Nothobranchius furzeri: one gene and its partner. The protein of the gene in region 1 purifies or fractionates together with the protein of each later gene. This does not show direct contact. Links are inferred from orthologs where the notes say so. Each region holds a gene or a part of one and is shown in the gene's direction. Other genes may lie near its edges.

Evidence for each region.
Region 2: the proteins of clcn5b (region 1) and tmem9 purify together in Homo sapiens (co-immunoprecipitation; 3 studies listed by BioGRID and IntAct, with this or other methods). This does not show direct contact. The link is inferred for Nothobranchius furzeri from reciprocal best matches to the Homo sapiens genes CLCN5 and TMEM9.

The regions. Positions count from the first base shown.
Region 1 is NC_091742.1:77,377,275-77,387,633, forward strand, and holds part of clcn5b (H(+)/Cl(-) exchange transporter 5), read left to right. Parts: intron 1-949; exon of another isoform or gene 950-1,148; coding exon of another isoform or gene 1,149-1,203; intron 1,204-7,093; coding exon 7,094-7,263; intron 7,264-7,679; coding exon 7,680-7,779; intron 7,780-10,359. UniProt on the Homo sapiens protein: Proton-coupled chloride transporter. Functions as antiport system and exchanges chloride ions against protons. Important for normal acidification of the endosome lumen. May play an important role in renal tubular function.
Region 2 is NC_091755.1:26,871,342-26,882,147, forward strand, and holds tmem9 (proton-transporting V-type ATPase complex assembly regulator TMEM9), read left to right. Parts: upstream 1-3,650; 5' UTR 3,651-3,788; intron 3,789-3,964; 5' UTR 3,965-3,985; coding exon 3,986-4,075; intron 4,076-4,404; coding exon 4,405-4,496; intron 4,497-6,667; coding exon 6,668-6,776; intron 6,777-6,862; coding exon 6,863-6,994; intron 6,995-7,088; coding exon 7,089-7,229; 3' UTR 7,230-7,937; downstream 7,938-10,806. Other genes in the region: dihydropyridine-sensitive L-type skeletal muscle calcium channel subunit alpha-1, read left to right, coding at 9,123-9,307. UniProt on the Homo sapiens protein: Transmembrane protein that binds to and facilitates the assembly of lysosomal proton-transporting V-type ATPase (v-ATPase), resulting in enhanced lysosomal acidification and trafficking.

The DNA.
Region 1 (10,359 bases):
GTCAAGAACATGGATCCATCGTGCCTTGTTACCACTGTGCAGGCTGGTGGTGGTGGTGTAATGGTGTGGGGGATGTTTTCTTTGCACACTTTAGGCCCCTTAGTGCCAATTGGGCATCGTTTAAATGCCACGGGCTACCTGAGCATTGTTTCTGACCATGTCCATCCCTTCATGACCACCATGTACCCATCCTTTGATGGTGACTTCCAGCAGGATAATGCACCATGTCATAAAGCTCCAATCATTTCTAATTGGTTTCTTGAACATGACAATAAGTTCACTGTACTACAACGGCCCCCACAATCACCGGATCTCAACCCGATGGAGCATCTTTGGGATGTGGTGGAACGGGAGCTTCGTGCCCTGGATGTGTATCCCACAAATCTCCATCAACTGCAAGATGCTATCCTATCAGAATGGGCCAACATTTCTAAAGAATGCTTTCAGCACCTTGTTGAATCAACGCCACGTAGAATTAAGGCAGTTCTGAAAGCGAAAGGGGGTCAAACACCGTATTAGCATGGTGTTCGTAACAATCCTTTTGGTGAGCGTAGAAGACACTTTTAGGTAAAAGTACTTTATAAAGGTGGATCCAAGCAATCATCAGTGTTTTCATTGCAGTACAGACATATTTATTTTAATTTCTCTAGCATATCTCAGTTAAATTGACCTCTTGTGTGGCATTCAGATTATAAGGCTGGATTATTTTCTTCCTTTAGTTCATGCCCAGATATTCTCCCAGGTATTCCACCCGAGTGTAAGCAAGTCTGTTTTTTATTTCCCGCCCCGTTTTGAGTGCTTCCAAGAACAGGTTAAACACAGAGAAAACGATTCCCATCGGACAGTTCTGTGTACAGCACAAGCTTTTTTTTCTGATCTCCATCTGGGTCCTGCTGGATCCACAAGGTGAAAGACCTCATAAACATGTGATCTCATTCCTACGCAGTAATCCACTGCAGCCTAAGAGCTGTAAAAACAGATCAGCAAATCGTCATCTACCTTCCCAGACAGATTAGCCAATCATGAGTCACTTCCAGCGAGCGTGGGAGGGATCTGCAGGAGGTTACTTCCTTGAGGAGGGAAGAAACTTTGGGTTTGAGTTGCCCTGCTGTCCGTGGATCTGAAGAGTGGGCCAAGAATGAGTGATCATGGGCTGGGAGTTCTGGACTCGGCAGCTAGATGAGGAGGAACTGGTTGAGAACGGTGAGATTAATGCATTCTCTAAGTGTGAGGAAAAGTGAGCTGTGATTTTAAAGAGCTTGTTGGACTGCTTTTAGATCTCAAGCATCTGGAACTGGTTGTTCAGACTGACTCTTGTTTCCTTTAAAGTTTAGACCTTTATTAAATGTTACCTGGGTTTTGAATGAGACTTCCTTTTGTTGTTGCTTCGGCCTTTCATTTAATCTCAGAAGAGTTTAATAATTAAGACCGTTTACTGCCCCCTCAGGCCCTGTGTCATGTGATCTGTGTGAGTGATGCGGTCGACATTGTAAAATCCAAGCACTCTTATCTCCTTGTGTACTTTGTGTGTTTGAAGCTTTAATCTTTTTTTGTATGGTTGGTCTGACCCAGTTTTTTTTTAAGTAAAAAATTTGACATTTATCCTTTTGAAGTAAATATATTGACTAACTGATTAAGAAGCATTGATTTTAACGTGTTTAGCTAATGTAGAAGTAGCTTCTCAAGGCTTCACTTGTGTTTAGACTATCTGAATCATGTTGAAGGAGCTGCTAAAGTGAAGCCTTAAACAGGAGTCACATTCATACCATTTTACTGTGGACACAATATAGTTCTCCATGTTTATTTCAAAATAACTTGGTCTCCTTTCAGGCAGTCTCTGAGCAGTACTTGGACTTGTAGTATTCATAGTTTTACTGTCACGGAGTCAGTGAAGTCACACAAGCCTCAAATCAGAATATTGTTACGCTCTTCAAAACTAAACCATTCTGCTTCAAAGTCCACTATAATACACAGAAGTTACATGCTGTTTAGGACTAGAATGGATAAATTCCTAATATTTATTCATTCTAATGGTGTTCTCTTAGGCACATTGTGATACGGCAGGTAAAAGCTTGCCAAAAAATAAACGTCTTCAAGAATCTGTACTGTATCACACTCAAGGAGGCGATTCTGACCGGTTAGATTAGTCTCCAGATTAAACACGTGACCATTACCCCACACATGGGTTCAACTACAGAACTGTCACAGAAGTCAAACTTTAAACCCAAAGTTGCACAAACTGCTTTTCTCTTTTTCATAACCCATACTCAGACTTTCAGTTGCACTTCTGTAGGTCTGGACTCAGGTTGTGATTTTAGTTTTTTTTTTTACAGTCGGCTGACTGCTTCATTATAAGACTGTAGTATGTTATGTAATATAGAAGTTATAAACTTTACACCAAAGCCAATGAAATCGCCCTCTCGCCTTTTATTCTGTTGAACGTTACTAATTTTTTTCATGTAGGTGAGACACTTCAGGCCCTAGAGAACATATTCCTAGCATGACTGCGTAATTTGCTTTTGTCCGTCCAAACCACTCTAACTTGCTCTCTTATTGTGTTTAATGCCTGGCTACATTCCTCTTCCTGGATGGAGTGGTGCTCAATCTTTGACAGTGTTTTGAATGAAGGGAATGTGACAGAAAGCTTGATAATTCCAGAATTTCTGGACCTGCTGGAATGTCAATACATTTTGCAACAGGATTAGGATTCATTTCCTCTTAGAAATCAGCTAGATCAAATTTGGCTAAAGCGATTGCTTTGCCTTTTTACATTTTTTTTGGTGGATTTCCATCAGTATTTTCTTTGATTTGAACTCTGAGTCAATACAACCTGAAGAGAATGTTACCTCCACCATCTTTTACATTTTTATTGTGACTTCCATTGACACAGAAATATAGGTTTAATCTAGTCCCAAATTATTGTTTTATTCCTATAAAAACTCAATTTTGAGCTTCAAGCAAAGCAGACCTTTTGTCCTGTTTCTGTTGGGTCCTGGTTATGGCTTCTTACTGGATGTGATCATGTAAAGAACATATTTAATGTTCTGTAAAACATTAGAAAAACACTATCTAATGTCAAAAGTTACTTTGGTTATCTTTCCAGGTTTTCAGATAACTAGCAGGTGTTTAAAAATACTAATCAAGGGAACTGGTCAGGCTTCCCTAAAAACATGTGGTTTTGGAGTCACGTGACTCATTCAGTACCTAGTTGGAACAGTAATAGTACCTTTGTTTTCCTCAAATATCTTCCTTTTTTTAAATGAAAATATAAAGTTTAGACCTGTTTGAATAAAAGGGCTTCGACCTGTGTTTAACATGGATAACGCCCTTTAAGGGTAGGGTAACATCAGTGGCGCAGAACAGTTTACTCAGGCTTTGCGGTGCATCAGTCCTCGTCAGGGGAGCTTCTCAGCCGCAGAACGACTTCTCCGCCATCCTTGCTGGACTTGCATGATCGCAAAATTCCTCGAGACTTCATAAATCGCGGTTTGTTTATGCAGTCCACCATTAAACCAAACAGAAGAAGATGGCATTTGATATCACTGTTTGATATCCTAAATGATGTTGTTCCTCTCCACTGCCAGGGTTAAAGCCATGAAAGGCAAACCGATGCACTTCTCGAACGATGCAGGGAGGAAATAAGCTGTTGGGTCACGCATAAAAGCACAGTCTACGTAGATAAGAAATAGATTCTCTGCAGTATTCTTTTATTTTGACATTTTACACTGAAACCGTGTGTGATTTCCTGTATAGCCCGATGTTAACTGTGGAAATGAATGTGTCTCTGAAGCAGCTCTCAGCAGACATAAAACTCAGTCTTATCTTTGGCTATGCGCTGCTGCCTGTTTGGATCAACCCATAGACTAATGGGTTTTATTTGACGCAGCTACGTTCTACTGCCGTTCTGCCACCACTGATGCCGCCAATTTGAACCCAAGGTAAGAGTTCCCGGCAAAAGCTGTTCAAGCAAGCTACATTTTGAAAATGGACAATTCAAAGGTTAAAACCCCTTTCCTTTTCCAAGTCACGCCCAGGAATGGGCACTGAAACTCTGTGCTTCTTTAGTACCATCTGAAAACATTTGTTACTGGTACTGGAAAAATGACAATCTTTGCTAACTTTGGGTACTTTCCCAATATAAACTTATGTTAATAAGCCACACATCTCATTCCTCCTGCCGTTGTGCATCATGTGACCAGTGACGTGACCAGTGACTCAGTCACGTGATTGGGGACGCTGGCAGCTCTCTCAGGGAAGCAGCTTGTTTGTTCAAAACACCTCTCTTAAGATTGCGGACTAAGAAAATGTCAGATTACCAAAAAAGTGTCATTCAGGTACAGGTGGCAAAAACCAGGTATCTTTAAAGTACCACTGTTGAAAAAAACTAAAGGTACCATACCCTAGCCACACCTGTAGAATACAAGAGAATGCCGGACGGAGTAGATAGGTCAACAAAAACCATAAAATCCAACGTCATCTTACTCATTAAGACAAAACTGAGCCACCATGGTGTGGGTTTGCAGCCCTTTTTGCTCCTTCAGTGGTCATTGGGCTGTTTGATGGATGGATATTAATCCAATCATTGGGAACAGGACGTTAACAAACATTGGTTGAGGTTTTTCCATGATTGTGCATATCCGAGGAAAATTATAAATTTTTTCACTAAATTTCATTCATTGGTAGCCATCGGTATGTGACTATTCTTTCTATGTAGGGATTTCATAACATTTATGGCACGGTCACTTGTAGCTTAAATTGTCAATTGGGGACAAATAAAGTTTTCTGAGTCTGAAGAGCTTTTTAAGCAGAATGCAAAATCTGTGCTCCAGAAAAACATGTCCTACCCCACCTTCAGTAGGGGGCTGCAGCTGTTTCATTGTGTCTTTGCTCCAGATTCTAGTCGATGCAGTTTTGTTGAGGAGAGTCCTATTTTTATAACAATAGTAGGTAACAATACTTTGCTCCAGTGACTTTTTCACTAAAACCCTTTATCAATGGTTGCGTAGCCACCATGGTGGAAACAGTACACCCAAGGAGTGGGAGGGTCACGGTTCGGTACAGGTTATGTTTTTTTTTTTTTTTTTTTTTTTTTGTCTAAACGGAGTACAAGGATATGGTTTCTTTTTCATCCGGTCTGACCTGTAAAATAGGGCTGTGTGCTTCACTTACTGATTCAAAATAACAAGTTATACAAAACGTGAAAATACAAACTAAATGAAAACACTCATCAAGCTTGTCTTTTAGGTGAGTCCTACAGCAAACTGCCCACTGTTCTCTGCTAGAAGAAGACATTAAAAATCCAAGACTGTTAGCTAGCAGCATTGTGTAAAGCCCGAGTCATGCTTCTCCGTCAGCTCCAAAAGGGAGAGACACGCATGCACGGACGGAGACTTTTTGCCCTCATGCTCCTCCGTCTCTTGGGGAGTGTTGCAAAGCAATTCTCCACCATGACAACAGAGGGCGTAGCGCTGTTCTGTGGTATCCTGTCATGTATCGGTCCAAGATAGTGTATTTATATTGTGTTTTTTGTATATGAGACTTTTTAACACAGACAAATTTGTCTCTCATCCTCCTCCACCTTTTCATGCGCTCGCCACCTCTAAACCCACGTTTCCTGTCATTTCCGTCCACAAATAAAATGCTTTCTGCGCATCTTTTCACTCCTCCAGTCACGGGGGAATTAAACATTCGTGTTTTAGAGTTTTTTCGCGAGGTATTCTTGAAGCTTCTCCGTGTCTGCCGCTAGTTATCCTCGGCATTCTTTATGTTTTTGAGGGCGCAACGGCGGCGGTGTAGACTACAGCGGTGCCCTGACCAATCACAAGCTTGCGTTGTCCGTCTCGACGGACGGATGTTTAGAAAAGAGAGCTCGACTCCGTCCGTCCTTCCTCCAGCAGGCCCGCAAGGACGGATAATGGCGTTGCATGTCTCCGACCTGACGCAGAAGCATGACTCAGGCTTAAGGAGGAGAAGAGTGCTACATGAGGTCTTCTGGAGAGGAGGAGGGTGTTCAGTAGCAGGATGCTGTCCCTGCAATGCTCCATGGACCACACACTGTTAGATTCCCTGGCCACGCATGAGGGACTCAGCTGATTGGATCTGTGAACTGCTTTGATTGAGGTTTTGTTTCCTGTTATAAGTGTTTTTATTGTGTTTTAGTAACTTATTGTTCGTGTGAATGACTGCAGCTGGCCTTAAGGCCATTTCCTGCTGGACCAATAAAGTTTTTACCTACCTATTTACTCACTCTGAGATCTAAATCACCAGGGGGAAATGGTTTTTGGGTTCAAACAGCAGGAAAAGAATGACCTAAATATTAGAAAGTTCGTTTCAAGCACCGTTTTTCTACATTTTTTTGGGATTCTGCTTGGTGTACATTTAGTTTGGATGTGTTTGGGTGTTAGAAGAATCGTCGTATGCTAAACTCACTTTTTACATGTTTTGTGCTGTGGTGTGTGTGTGTGTGGCTACTTCCTCTATAAACTCTCTGACAGAAAAACAGATCAGTGGTTGTCTGTCAGTGTTTGAGCTCCTTTTAGGTGGATAATTCCTAAAACCAAACAGTCCCTGTTTGTGGGACTTCTACCAGCATCATAGAGCCATCAGGGTAAGCTGGCCAATCAGCATTTAATGTTCATGTCCCGACAGAGTGGGCAGGGCAAACTAGTCTTTCTAATGTAGAGCTTTGTTATGGGGGTTGTGTTTGCCCATTCATCGGGGCTCCTGGGCCATTGTGAGCCTCAACAAACTTTCAGATTGCTAAAGAACAGTTTACAGCAGTGGAAATAGCTTTTTCCTTATTTGAAAAACCCTCACAAGCCATAAAAAGTTTTTTTCCCCCAATTTGAAAAATTACAACCCCCCTCTGGTCACACTTTACACATGCCTGGATAAAAGTCTACTAAACAATTATAATCATGGAGCAAAGTGAACACACATAAAGGAAGTTGTTCGTCTGATACAAACATTGAGAAAAAGTGTCGAGACCCGTTCCAAGTAGAGCCGTTCCTTACAGGAAGTGATGATGGAAAACCAGGAGCGGTTCTTTAACTTTCTCTTCCCCTCCCTGATTCCCTCCTTCTCTCCCTCCCAGGAGGTTACGATGAGTACAGCAGCAGCAGCAGAGCCGGTATGAACGGGGGCGGACCAAAGAAGCTGGTGGACCTTCTGGAGGACCCTCTGCCCGGCGTGGGCACGTATGAAGACTTCAACACCATCGACTGGGTCAGAGAGAAGAGCAAGGACCGGGATAGACATAGAGAGGTACCGGAGCGGCACCGTTTGGACTAGTAAAGTCTGTTGGCCAGCACCAAGACCTGCTTTTTCCTTGTTTTTCTGATGATGCTAATGAAAGGGAAGCTGCTAAAGCAGTGATGGTGCAGCTTCATCGATCAAAGGAAGGGAAATCCATGAGTTACTGCGGCGAGAGTGGGGACATTAAAACCAGAAAAGAAGAAAAAAATAACATGATACACATCTATCTGATCTTCTCTGTGATGGTTTATATTTTTACAAACTTTTAGCTCAATCAGCAGTTATTTTTTTCTTACATAATTTTACTTTAATGCAGCTAAATCATGGTGAAGTGGTGATAAATTCAGTCTTAATGCAGGATCAACCATGAGAGTGCACACATCGCCACCCTGTATGACCTGGCTCTCTGCATGCTTTCCTCCCAGATCACCAATAAGAGCAGACAGTCGACCGTGGCCCTGCTGCGCAGCCTCAGCGACGCCTTCTCGGGATGGCTGCTCATGCTGCTGGTGGGACTCATGGCAGGTAGTTAGAAACACTTCCTCCTGTCGGTAAGCTGATGCTTTGGTTGGAAAGTCTTGGTTTGAGGCCGCTACAGAAGTCTGATTGAATCTGGAAATACACAGGAACAAAAATACTTGTGTACTAAAACATACACTCAAGTAGGGCTGCTCAATTAATCGAATTTTAATCCCAATTACGATCTGAGTTTTGAACGATTATAAAAACAAAACAAGCCGATTATTTGCTCCTCCCACTTGCGCTGCCCTGAGTTGCAAATGAAGCGCTCCTCCCAAAGTGTTGCCAACTTAGCGACTTTGACGCTATTTCTAACAGCTTTTCAGACCCCCTTCTTGACTTTTTAAATCTTAAAAGTACCTAGCGAACACCTCAGAAACATCTCTGGTAACCCTTAGCTACTTTCTGGATAACTGTCGTCGACATTTCCTGCAGGTTAGCTAAACACTCCGCCTGCGCTCCGGACCGTTCTTCAGGACATTAGGAAAGGGAATGATGTAGTGATGTGTCGGTCGCTAAAGAATCGTCTCTCAGAGCTGGCTCCCTGTTGTATTAACCAGAGTGAGTGACACACGCCGTACCTGCAAGCTCCTGACCCCAAAATTCCACTATCTCCGCTCCGCTCCGGCACGAACTCCGCAGCAAAAACGGTCCCGTTGTAATCAATCAGAGCTGTTCCACTACTGCGGCCGTGCGCCGCCCGCCGTTCCGCCATCCGGCAAAAATGGGATTGATTGATTCTATTTTTGCCGGACGCCGGAGCACCTCCGCAGTGAATGGACAGAAACCACAACCGCCCAACAGGAAAGGGAGCAAGCACAACTTCCGTTATTTCACAATAAATCGATAACAAAAGGCGTTTTTTGTTTCATATGCACAGGTTTAACAACTTTTAACAACTATCAATGGCGGTTGAACTTTAAATGCACAAAAATGAGCCATAAATACAGTTTCTACTATCAAAGTAGTCACACTTTGTCGATCCAAACACTGCTGATCTCTCAACACAAATGATGGGCAGATTAAACTGTTCATGCCGATGCTTCTCCCACACAACGGGTGTTTGGATCTAACTTCCGCGTTTATTGCTCGGACTGTATCGCAAGATCTCGAAAATCCCGCGCATGCCTGTTTGCGCACCTCAGGTCTCCGCACCGGAGCGGAGCCGTTGTAGAGCGGGTACCAGTATAATATGAGTTCAGAAGCGAGCGGCAGCGGAAAGCGGGGGCGGAGCGGAGATAGTGGAATTTTGGGGTAAATATGCACGTGCGGAGCGCTAAACGCACGTGCATCTTGCCTCTGATTGCTGTGAGACCGGGTTGGGGGGTGCAGCTGTGGTTGGGACAATTATTACATTAACTGATGGACTTGTAAATAAATAGTTTATAAATAAGGTAGAAATAAGTTCCTCATGCTGATAAATAATAACTAATCTCTCAGAGGACACGGTGCTTGTGTACTCTCCTACAGCACCTTGTCATGACTTCAATAAATGTTACGCAACATTTTGTGAACATCAATTTATTTGCATATATTTGTTATGAATGCCACTGTATAATTCTTGCTGTCAGTATTTGCAAGATATTGGTATTTGGGTCTGTACTGGTTAGACTTAAATGAGTTAAACCAAGGTCTATAGCCCTTGGGTCATAGACTATGAGCTATAAGTATATTGGTCTTTTTATACTGGGAATCAGGAGTTATTTTAGTGATCATCTTGTTTCTTATTTATTTTTGTCCTGATTGTGCCTTGAGCAATTTTATGACTGAATAAAAACAAATAAAATCAACATAAATAGAAAAATCGTCTTAAATAATCGAGATCTCAATTTCAGTCACCATAATCGTGATTATTATTTTTGCCATAATCGAGCAGCCCTACACTCTATAAATGTTTTCCATTAAGTTTTCTCAAATGTGGAGTTTTAGATGTTTTGACCTCTGAAGAGCTGGTCATTTATTAGGTTTAGGTTCTTAACTCATTCACTGCCAGCCGTTTCCTGATCTCTAACGGCCTTCGCTGCCAGCGTTTCTAACCGTTTTTACTGTTTTTTAAGAGTGACAGAACGTTGTGCGCTAGGATGATGTCGATGCCAAAACAATCAAAACAAAGAGGAGACTCACCTCTTACATCAGGAAGAATCCGTGTGTTTCGAGCGTTATCCGTTCTTTCATAATCCGTTGTTGAATTGTGATCGGCAGACGCTTTTCCGGTTCGCGCCTCACTTTTTTTACTGGAACGGCCCAAAACGATCTCCTAACACATGGATGGTCTGCTTCCTGATCATGTGACGTGTGACGTATGTGGATGAAGATCGGCTTCAGGGCCATGTTTGTTCTCTCAACGCGGGGGCTCGTTCTGATGCTCAAACAGTAAAAAAAATGCAAATGACGACTTTAGTCGTCATTGGCAGTGAATGAGTTAATTTGGGCTTGTAGGATCTCAGAAACATACTTTTAAAAATAATTTACAATTTATGTAATTATTTTGATTTTTGAAATTATTTTAATAATGAAATAATTTATTAAGTAATAAAAATCTATTGAAAATAATGTAAAAAAAATTCTAACAAAAATTCATATTAA
Region 2 (10,806 bases), on another chromosome or scaffold:
GAACGGAAGAAAAAGATGGGTGGAGAGGAGCTCTGATCATTAGATAAAGGTCAAAAAGAAACATGCAGAAAGGTTAAATGTAGGCAAAACAGAATTCAGGATGCAGACTCTTGTCACCCCACAGCAGGAGGGGAATCATTTGAATTACACTATTTATGAACTGCAGGTAAATATTAGTGATTCTGACATATTTTAAATCAGCATGACCTGCCTTAACTAACTTCTCCTTCTTGTTTTTATTGCAAGTCCAGCATCTTAACGACCAAGTTCTCTAAAGTCTGCTTCCGTAATATTTGGTGTTTTACCCTCCCAGAGTATTTCCTAGTGGGCAAACGGTCCCGCTGTTTTTAGTTCCCTACAAATAAAATAAAGCTTTGAATGATGGGATCCAGTCAATAAAAAGCAGCCAGACAGATGATTTGCTACTTCCTGGTGTTGTTTATGGGATGGGCTTTTTGTTGTTTGCTGCAGTGTGATGAATCATTTTAGTTTGCTGGTATATAACCAGGTTGTGTATGCGTGCCGTGTGTGTGTGTGTGTGTGTGTGTGTGTGTGTGTGTGTGTGCGTGCGTGCGTGCGTGCGTGCGTGCGTGTGTGCATGTGTCTGTGTGTGTGTATGTGCATGTGTATGTATGTGCGTGTGTGTATGTGTGCGCGCGCGTGTGTGTGTGTGTGTGTGTGTGTGTGTGTGTGTGTGTGTGTGTGTGTGTGTGTGTGTGTGTGTGTGTGTGTGTGTGTGTGTGTGTGTGTGTGTGTGTGTGTGTGTGTTTATGTGTATGTGTGTGTATGCGTGCATGCATGTGTGTGTATGTGTGTGTGTGTGTGTGTGTTTGCATCCCCACCTCTCCCAGGTGGTTATTTATATCTGTTTCAGTACATTTTTTCTCATTACACTTCCCATAAGATAACCAGAAACCCTTTTCTTCTTCTATCAGAAGGTTTTTGCTCATTCTGCCCACCCTTAGCCTGATCACCTTTTCCTTGAGAACTCTGAACCGATAATGAGACGTGGCACTGAGCAGCGGTCAGTGTCATTTATGCTGTAATTGGCCTGAGGGTGTAAAGGGCAGCCTCTCATCAAAGAGCACAGAGAACTAAGTGTCTTTACGCTGACAGAGGTGAAAGATGGAAACTCACTGTAGGCAGAAAGCTTCAGGAAATCACCACCTGAGGAGATTTCTTTGTAAAAAAAAAAAATAAACAGAAAGAATAAATGGTGCACAAGTAAGTTATGTATTCAAAGGAATATTAAAATATCAAAAAGCGATGACATTTTAATCTTATTTCAGTAACAACTCAAAGTACCATGTGTTCAAATTAACTCAATCTTGTCAATTAACAATAAAAAAATCTCATTACTTATTAAGACAGAAAAAAATTTGAGTTTTTATTTTCTCCAGATTTGAACCATAAATGTGGCTTCATAAATATTCTAATATTCATCAATTCATCAGTAAAAAAACAAGGATTTTCCAACAGCAAACATCTTCCTCCCTCATTAGGTTCTGCTTGGTGAATGTCACGATCTGCCCCTGCCCTCCTGACTGTGTTCCTCTCCTGCCTTGATTACCCTTATTGTTCCCACCTGTCCCTCATTAACCTGCCCATGTTTCCCTATTAGCCCTCTGTATTTATACCACCGGTTTTGCCCCTGTCCTTTGTCAGATCATTGTTGTTGTTTCAAGTCATCGTTGTGTTGTGTTGTGTTGTGTTGTGTTGTGTTGTGTTGTGTTGTGTTGTGTTGTGTTCCTGCTGTTCCCGTTCTGTAATTAAATTCAGTTTTATTTTTCATCCGTGCCTGGTCTTCTGCCTCCTGAACCCACCAGCACCACACATGGTCCCACCATCTCCACCCTCACAACATGACAGTGAACCGTAAAAAACTACATTTCTGAGATACTTTTCTAGAAGAAAGAGGGAATCTTACCTTCACCCCGTGGAGTTTTAGAGTCTCCAGTCATTCATATTCATTAATTTATTGCTCTGTTTACTTTTACAAATTATTCCCTACTTGCTTGAAGCAAATGCATATAATCTGATGGACCTAAATTCATTTGAATATCTTTTATTTCTCCAAAATATGTGCAGAATTAAAGAGTCGTTGGCAGTTTTTATTTTTTGTTTTGTTTTGTTTTGTTTTGTTTTTTGTCAGCTGACTGGAGGGCTGCATGAATGATTGCAGATACACAAAGCAGGTGTGGTTTTGCTCATGCTGATATCATGGCTCATTGGAGAAATAACCCCTGTCCCCATTGATCCGGGTGACCAGAGGCTGGAATGGTCGGGGCGGAATTTTTCAGTGATTGATTTTTACTACTTATAGGTATGAGTGTCTTAGCGTACAGAGAAATGTGAAAGCAGGATTACCAGGAAATAGGTGTATTGGCTGATGATTCTGGGGCTTATTTTACAAATTAATAAAGGGAAGAAAGAATAGGAATAATAACTTTTTGTTTTTTCATTTGACTAAATATTGAAATGATTTTTGTTAACATTTTTATGATAGTTGTTACTTATATTTAATGCTTGTCATCCAGGTAATTGCCGGTCCATATAATGCTAAACTATGTGGTTCATTTGGTTTTTTAAAAACCTGATATGCTTATTGTGTTGTAGGTGGTTTTGCAGTTTTCTCTTCTTTTATATATTTAATGTATTCAAAGTCACACCTGTATGAATACTGGAGTAATTTTGTTTTGCTTTGTTGTTATGTGTGTGTAGCACTTTCAGTCTATGATTGTGGTCTCTGTGCATTTTATTCCTTGTTATTTATGGATTTTTGTATTTTTATTACACATTTATTTTTTGTCTACCTTGATTATTTTATAACCTGCAGCAATAATGAACACCGTGTAAATTTTTATCTTGGAGATGAATGAAAACATTATTTTCTGTTCAGTTGATCCAGATACATGTTTGCTCATTTGAACAAGAAAACAAACTGCTAAATTAATTTAAAAAGTGGTTTTGCAGCGAATGTAACTGTGGATAAGTGAATAGTAGTTGTGGGTGAAAAGAAAAAGTGCCACCTTTATTGCTCTCATTTATGAATGCCACACTGCTGAACAAATGTCGCCCTCTTGTGGCAAATTTAGGTTGTTTTGTCATTTTGTTTGGGTTCAAATAACATTTGAGCGTACTAAACGCAAGAAAGCAGCTTATTTCCACAGGGGAGTGGAAAAAAATCCTTATTCTTGAAAGCCAGATACTAAAAGATTAGTCACATAAATCCCTTATAGACAGCGTATGTGGCCATCAATCACCTTCATTTGGCAGCGTATTCCTTCTTGAACTCATTTAGTTTTAATATAAAATGTCTGTTGTTTTGGTATTCCGTGTTTGAATGGTTTTATAAATCGTTTAAATTTCATCTTGTTCCCTCTGTATCTTCTTTTTTATTATTATTATTAATTTTTTGTAACTATTGTTATTTTAATGTTTTTATTTTTATTTTTTGTATATTTGATTAATATACCTCCCACCAGAGGGTGTTCCTCTCTTTTAATTTGACATCTTGAAGGGGGTGTGAATGTTTGGATTCGTGTGTTGTTCTTGGAATTTATTATTTTGTTCTTTTCTGTTTTGTTAAATAAAGTTTAAGAATTTCAAAGTTATTTTAACATTTCACCAGCAGGAGGCGCCATTACCCCGTGTTCATGGGAGGTCAGTGATGATTCCGAAATCCGGAAGTTTAGAGTCAACTTGACGATTTTTTTTTTCAGCTGCAACCAAACCGCATGTAGCAGGATTCTGGATGTTCATAAAACAAGCTTTTCTGCTGTTACAGCGTAAGTTAAATATGCCATTATACGCAATAGCATTTTATTTTAATTTCAGAGTCAACGTTTGACGTGATATTTGTTTCATTTTTTGTGTTAGCCTGTTAGCTAACTTGGCTAGGTGCTAGCTTGCTAGTTGTATGTTTTGTTTTGACACTGTGGTCATTTGTGCTGTCGTCGTGCAGCCTGTTGTCCTTTTAGTTGAAATGCCCGGCCGAGGTGGATCCTGGGTCTTTGTTCCAGCCACATTAGTGACCGTGCTGCTGCTGGAAACTGCTGTTCCTGTTCAGGCCAAGGTAAAAACAAACCGACCATTTTATGTCCTGTTAGAGCTTGTTTTTGTATTATTTTGATTTTCAGTGTCAACTCAGTAACTTGTGTTACATTATAACAGATCTACCCTTTATGTTTTCATTGCATATTAGAGCAAAATCATAAATCAGTGCTTGTCAGAGAAAACCTTTATATGTGTGTGATTTTATCTTCAATCTACCACTATATTAAGGTCACATCCTTAAAAACAATGTTGCATCTTGTGCAGTCAAATATGTGCAAAATATCTTAAAATGCATCGTGGATCAATGAGAAGACCCAATCTTTAATTAACTTTTCTTGACTGTTGCAGAACTTTGAGGATGTGCGCTGCAAGTGCATCTGCCCACCCTACAGAAACATTTCTGGACACATCTATAACAAAAATGTCACCCAGAAAGATTGGTAAGGAACTTTATTGCGACAAAGTATCCTTTTAGGAGGGTGAGTTTGAGCAGCCTGCAGGAAGGTATTGTTCTAATTATTTTATATTAAAGGAGTCATCACCTGAAGTTTTCACTTTTCCACTTGAAAAACTGTAAATATAATGATTTCCTAATTATTTTTCACTGGCCGGGAAGCCGATAATTTAACATTTAACACTGATCATTTTTTTACTCTTGGTTTCTTCAACCAGCCCAGGTGCATCCCCTGAGCCCCTTGAGTTCTGGCCTTGATGTTGTCACAAAGGCAGGATGTACAGTACCATATATGGACAACGCAGAGCAACACCGCTATAGCCCGCACTGCTCTGCTTCCCCTCAAATTCAGTCGAGCACCGCCATTACTGAAATCAGGAGAACGGAAAATGTTGAAGTGTGTTTCACATGTGAGCTGCTCAGTTGTTGACTGCAAACTCCACACAAATGTGTTTGTTTTACCAAAATCAGACCAACCCAGCAAACATTAGTCCGACAGCAAGGCTGTGAAATATGTGGAATTCACGGCCAGAAAAGACAACTAGTCGTCGTTAAAAATATAAAAATAATAATTTGTAATTTCAAATATTAAACTTTTATCGCTCTGACGTAATTTCAGCTGTGATCAAGGGTCCAAATGTTTGCTGGGTTTTAACACCATTATTGGTAATAGACATTTTTTTCAGTTAACAAAAGTTGTCGAAGAGAGCTCAGTTAGCAAGACACCCGACTTACACACAGAGAACCCGGGTTCAAATTCAGGCTGGGACATACGAGATTCTGACTCAGATTGCAATTATTTAATTTTTTTAAATATGTTTTTTACTGTAATAAAGTAATAAGATGCTCAAATTTTTATTGTTAGACGTCTAAATGAGATGCGCTGAAAAACGTTGAATTCACTGCCAGAAAACACGGTGGTTTAATTTTTTTAACCATGACGGGACGTCTCGGACTGACGTCGTTTCAACGGTCACGGGAAGCTGGGAAGCTTGTGGATTTCTTTTATTTTTAACAGCGCTGGAGCGTGAGATCGATAGGCGGATTGGTGCAGCGTCTGCAGTGATGCGGGTGTTGTATTGGTCTGTCATGGTGGAGATAGCTGAGCTGGAAGGCAAAGCTCTTGATTTACTGGTTGATCTACGTTCCCACCCTCACCTACGGTCACAAGCTTTGGGTAGTGACCGAAAGAACGAGATCACGGATACAAACAGCCAAAATTAGTTTTCCCCGCAGGGTGTCTGGGCTCTCCCTTAGAGATAAGGTGAGAAGCTCAGTCATCCGGGAGGGACTCAGAGTAGATCTGCTGCTCCTCCACATTGAGAGGAGCCAGTTGAGGTGGCTTGGGCATCTGGTCAGGGTGCCTCCTGGACGCCTCCCTGATGAGGTTTTCCGGGCACGTCCAACTGGGAAGAGACCCAAGACACGCTGGAGAGACTATGTCTCTCGACTGGCCAGGGAACAACTTGAGATTCCCCCGGAAGAGCTGGCTCAAGTAGCTGAAGAGAGGGAAGTCTGGGCATCCCGGCTTAGGCTGCTGCCTCAGTGACCCGACTCCGGCTAAGCAGCTGAAAGTGGATGGCTGTTCCTGAAACTCTCCCCACTACTCTCGATGTCTGTGCTAGCCATTTTAAGCCAGAATGCTTTATAACTTTTGGGGCTATATCAGGCGAAGATGGCATTGAGGATTCATCTAGAATGAGGGGAGATTCCAACACTGAGAAACTTACCTGAAATTCAAACGGTAAGGCAGAATTTATCCGTCACAGGCACTTTATTTTGGAGAGAGATGCTGAAGCGAAACATATGGTGTCAACACCCCTGCTTCCTTCCACCAATCAACTCATTTGCATTATTCTAATGTCCTTTTCATACAGCCAAAATATCGCCTTTGCTCTCGCGAGAAAACGTCCTTTACAAAAAAAAGGGTCAGAAAAGCACTTTTTGATTTTTTTTTTCCAATACAAATTATGTTTATGACCTAATATGACGTAGATACTTGTGATGACTCCTTTAATAAGATAGAATCATTTTTAAATTTTGACCTCATTAATTGTTTTCTTGTTCCAAAGAGATATAATCCAGCCCGACTTTAATCTGTTTATATTCTATAACCGTGATGTGCCCAATGAACGTAACGTTTTCATGTATTTACAGTACGTGCCTCCATGTAGTGGAGCCCATGCCAGTTCCTGGTCATGATGTGGAAGCGTACTGTTTGTTATGTGAATGTAAATATGAGGAGCGGAGCAGCAACACCATTAAGGTACAGCTGACTGTCTCTGAGTTTGGTTGTTTCTGTTTTAGCCCAGTATCCTAAACGTTATTTGTTCTTTATGTTAAATGTTTCAGGTAACCATCATCATTTACCTGTCTGTTGTGGGTGCACTGCTCCTCTACATGCTGTTTCTGCTCCTGGTGGATCCACTGATCCGCAAGCACGACCCGTACACTCAGCCTCTGCACAACGAGGAAGACTCCGAGGTGACCAACCAAAGAAACGGCACATTTCGAGCATCTGGTACATTCCAGTTTTTACAAAGCTGTGGATTGAAACAGTTTTTATGTGTGTGTTTAGGAGATGCGTCCTCGTGCAGAAAGCGGGTCGGCCAGAGGAAACACAGTTCTGGAGCGAGTTGAAGGGGCACAGCAGCGCTGGAAGAAGCAGGTGCAGGAACAGCGCAAGACTGTTTTCGACCGGCACAAGTTGCTAAGTTAGAGCTCTGTTGAAGGCTTTAAGGGTTAAAGGATGCAACCTTCCCAGTTCTGTGCTGTCACACGGTCACCAGCTGAGTTATCACACACCTGGTTGTCACTGATCAGCACCGCTTTGACTGCATTGCTGTTTCCTCACTTTAAAACATTTCACATGTTCGTCTAATTCATTGTCTTATAATTTATAAGGTAACTACTGTAAGCTAAGCCAGCTGAGTGGAGCGTAAACATCTTTTGCACACGCCATTAGTACATTTTCTCAGTCGCTTCTAGGAATGTCAATGCTGCTGCTTCAGATTTAAATTATTTTAGGGTTGTCATCCTTTTTAAAATATTTGTAAATATATATAAAAAAGTGTTGCATGATTAAAGAAGAAGTTGTTTCTACAGATCAGCTTGCTCACAGGATTCTACAGATGTTAGTTTAGTTGTAATTTATTGTTTTTAAACTCAGACTTTTTCATTGTTTGCACTAAGGATCGTTATTTTTTGGGTAGGTTAAATTTCTGTTGCTTCTTTGAAACTGATTGTCCATTTTTCCAGCTCTTTGATGCAAAAATGTATTTTATCAAACCATCACAATCTGTGGTCTTTTGCATGAAATTCTGCATCTGAAGTTTCAGTTTTTACTCCTAATGGAGTTTATTTTTGTCTTTGTTTTGTTTCTTAATTTGATGTAAAATATTTAGAGTTACCGAAACCTTTTTAGATGAGGAAAAAATTCTACCGATGTGTCGCACGGCCGCTCTCAATCATTATAAGATCACATGATGGAATGTTTAATGGAAGAATAAAAATCTATTCCCCCAAGAGATGAAATAAAACAGAATCAGTTCCAGGATGTGGTCATGTTTAGTTTTATTTTCCTCAGGCTGCATATTTATCTTTAGCCTGACTCAACAAAGCTCAGGCTTGGGCTAAGTGTTTAAATAAATGTAAGAAAAAAAAACGTGTATTCATTCTTTCAGATGTTTGGAGACTTCATCTTTAGTACAAGCAATTATTTTATCTGCCACCAGGGGGCGACAGAGTACACCGCCATTAAAATAAACGCCACGATGACGTTACCACTAACATGTCAGAGAGCAGATGTCATCCAACGTGTGTGGTTTGCATAAAACTAATACAAGTAAAAATATTTTTATGTGAATTAATGAACATTTTTTGTTTCCCAGAATTATGTAGCTAATTAAATAAAGTAATTAATAAACATCCTTCCTACGTTATTAAAAGGAAGGAGGTCCCTTTTACTGTTTTGCTGCACCAAACGTGCATCATCTACTGATAATTACAGCATGAGAACATATTGAATGCTTATATTTAATAATTCATGTGTGCAAATGTATGCATGTGAAAGCCAGATTTATCATCAAAGTTTCTCATTTAACAAAATATCCTTCATGCAAACACTTCAATAAGTGTGGAATTCAAATCTTGCTCCCAGGAGAATATTTTCCAAAAGAGCCACATTGTTTACACTTTAGATTTGGTTTGCTGCTGCAGGATGATCCCCCTAATCCCCTTGTTTTTTCTGCTCTCTGCTGCCCCTCCTTCCACTCTGCCCTCTAAACCATCCCCAAGCATGGCCTGCCAGTGGTTCACAATCTAAATTTAAACTGCTGCAAGGCCAACTGCTCTCTTCTTCCAGCTTCCCTGAGCTTCTGTTATTTTTCTCTGCTGGGGTGAGCTTTTTTCTGTCAGAGGCCCTCAGCCAGGGGAGAGAGAGGGAGCCAGAGAAGAGGGCAGCAGGAGGAAGACCAACACAAGAGAGGCTGATCTGGAGCCCTGGGGGCGCCACTAAAGGAAGTTACATGCTGCATCAGAGAGTTTGGGATTTTACATCAAGAGGAAACGTATTTTCTGGAATTTAAAGTTTGTGTAAAGTGAAGGAATCAGGATGGCAGCCAACGCAGAGGGAAACAAGTCGTTCATCATGAACGAGGAGGAACTGAAGAGGAAGCAGAGGGAGAAGCTGAAGAAGCTGCAGGCCACGGGGGGCAATCCTCGCCCTGCCAGAACTCTCTTCCTCTTCTCACTAAAAAATCCTTTCCGCAAGGCGTGCACCAACATCGTGGAGTGGAAGTATCCTTTCAAAATCACACCTTTTACACTTTATTGGGACCCGTGGGTGAAAACAGCAGCTGTGATCAAACATTATTTAAATCTGATGTCATCAGAGAAGTGGTTTAAGTGTTCAAACACTTTTGATTCGTAGCAAAAATGTCATAAATAATAAGGAACATATGAAGATTGTAGAACAGAGAGAACATGATCAGATGTACTATGGAGCAAGGATTGGGACAAAATTTCATGTAACTTGTAACATGTTTTGTAACAGCACCTTTTGCTTTGTAGCATGTAAATAACGTTTTGCAACACATAGCTTTTATTTTGTAACACATAATTCTAATTTTATAACATTTAATCTTTGGTACGTAACATGAAACTTTCATTTTGTAACTTGTTAAAAAATCTATGTACAAGTTTCAAATAACTCAAAATAAAAAAACTAAAGGTTTACAGTTACAAAACTTAAATCTACGTGTTACAAAATATTTTGTCCCAATTCTAGTTTCCTTTCCCAAAAAACCAATAACAAGCCTTGTCTGACCAGCCAATCTTAGGTCTGGGGCACACCGGAGACAGATGCACCGCGCCGCCATTTTAAGTAGAAGCCATTATAGTTACTGAGAATTACTACACGGGGAGCGCAACGCCGAGGCACTGAAGATAGGCACCAGTTCTATTTCATGCGCTGTGGTGCTTCCGTGGCGTGGCTGTTTACAATATTGTGGAGTACTTTACAACAGATAAGACGCTGAACGGCTTTACGGCACAAAGCCAGCCACAGTTTTGATAACTTTAAAGTACTATTGATCTTAAAATATTCTAATAAATAGCGTACGTAGAGTCTGACAACACGACAAGTCTGAGCATGTAAAAACAAAAGAGTCACTTTCTCAAGTCCCGCATGATGTTGTGATTATTGACTTTCCGAGAAGCGCTCGGCGGCGCTTCCTGTGTGACAATTTGATTTCCCAAAACCGCTGCGCGGCGTGTCTGTCTTCAGTGTGCCCCAGGTTTTAGATTCCTGTCCAATCATGGCAAAAAGGGCAGAGGTCTGTTGTACGGCTCACAACCAAACTTACATTGTCACTCTTTAACAGTAGGTGGCAGTCATTTTTAGAGAAATTAAACTGATGTAAATAATGAACTTACATTTTCAATTAGAGCAGAATATCCGAGACACATGATTGACTGATAAGACAAAGCTTTTCATTGGTTCTTTGGGGAAGGAAGCTAGAATTGGGACAAAATGTTTTGTGACTGTAGACTGAGATGTGTGTTTTGAGAATTGTGATTTTCTTTTTCTGCAAGTAACAAAAAGAAGGTGTTCCAAGTTCAAACATGTTACAAGTCACAAAACTTGGTACAAGTTACACGTAATTTTGTCCCAGTCCTAGCTCCATAAAGCATAATTTTCCCACCATTTTAAATCAATCAGTTACACAAAATCTAAAAATAACCCTTTAAATAGGAAATCTTTATTAGATCTCAATCATTTCAAAACATTTCTCTTA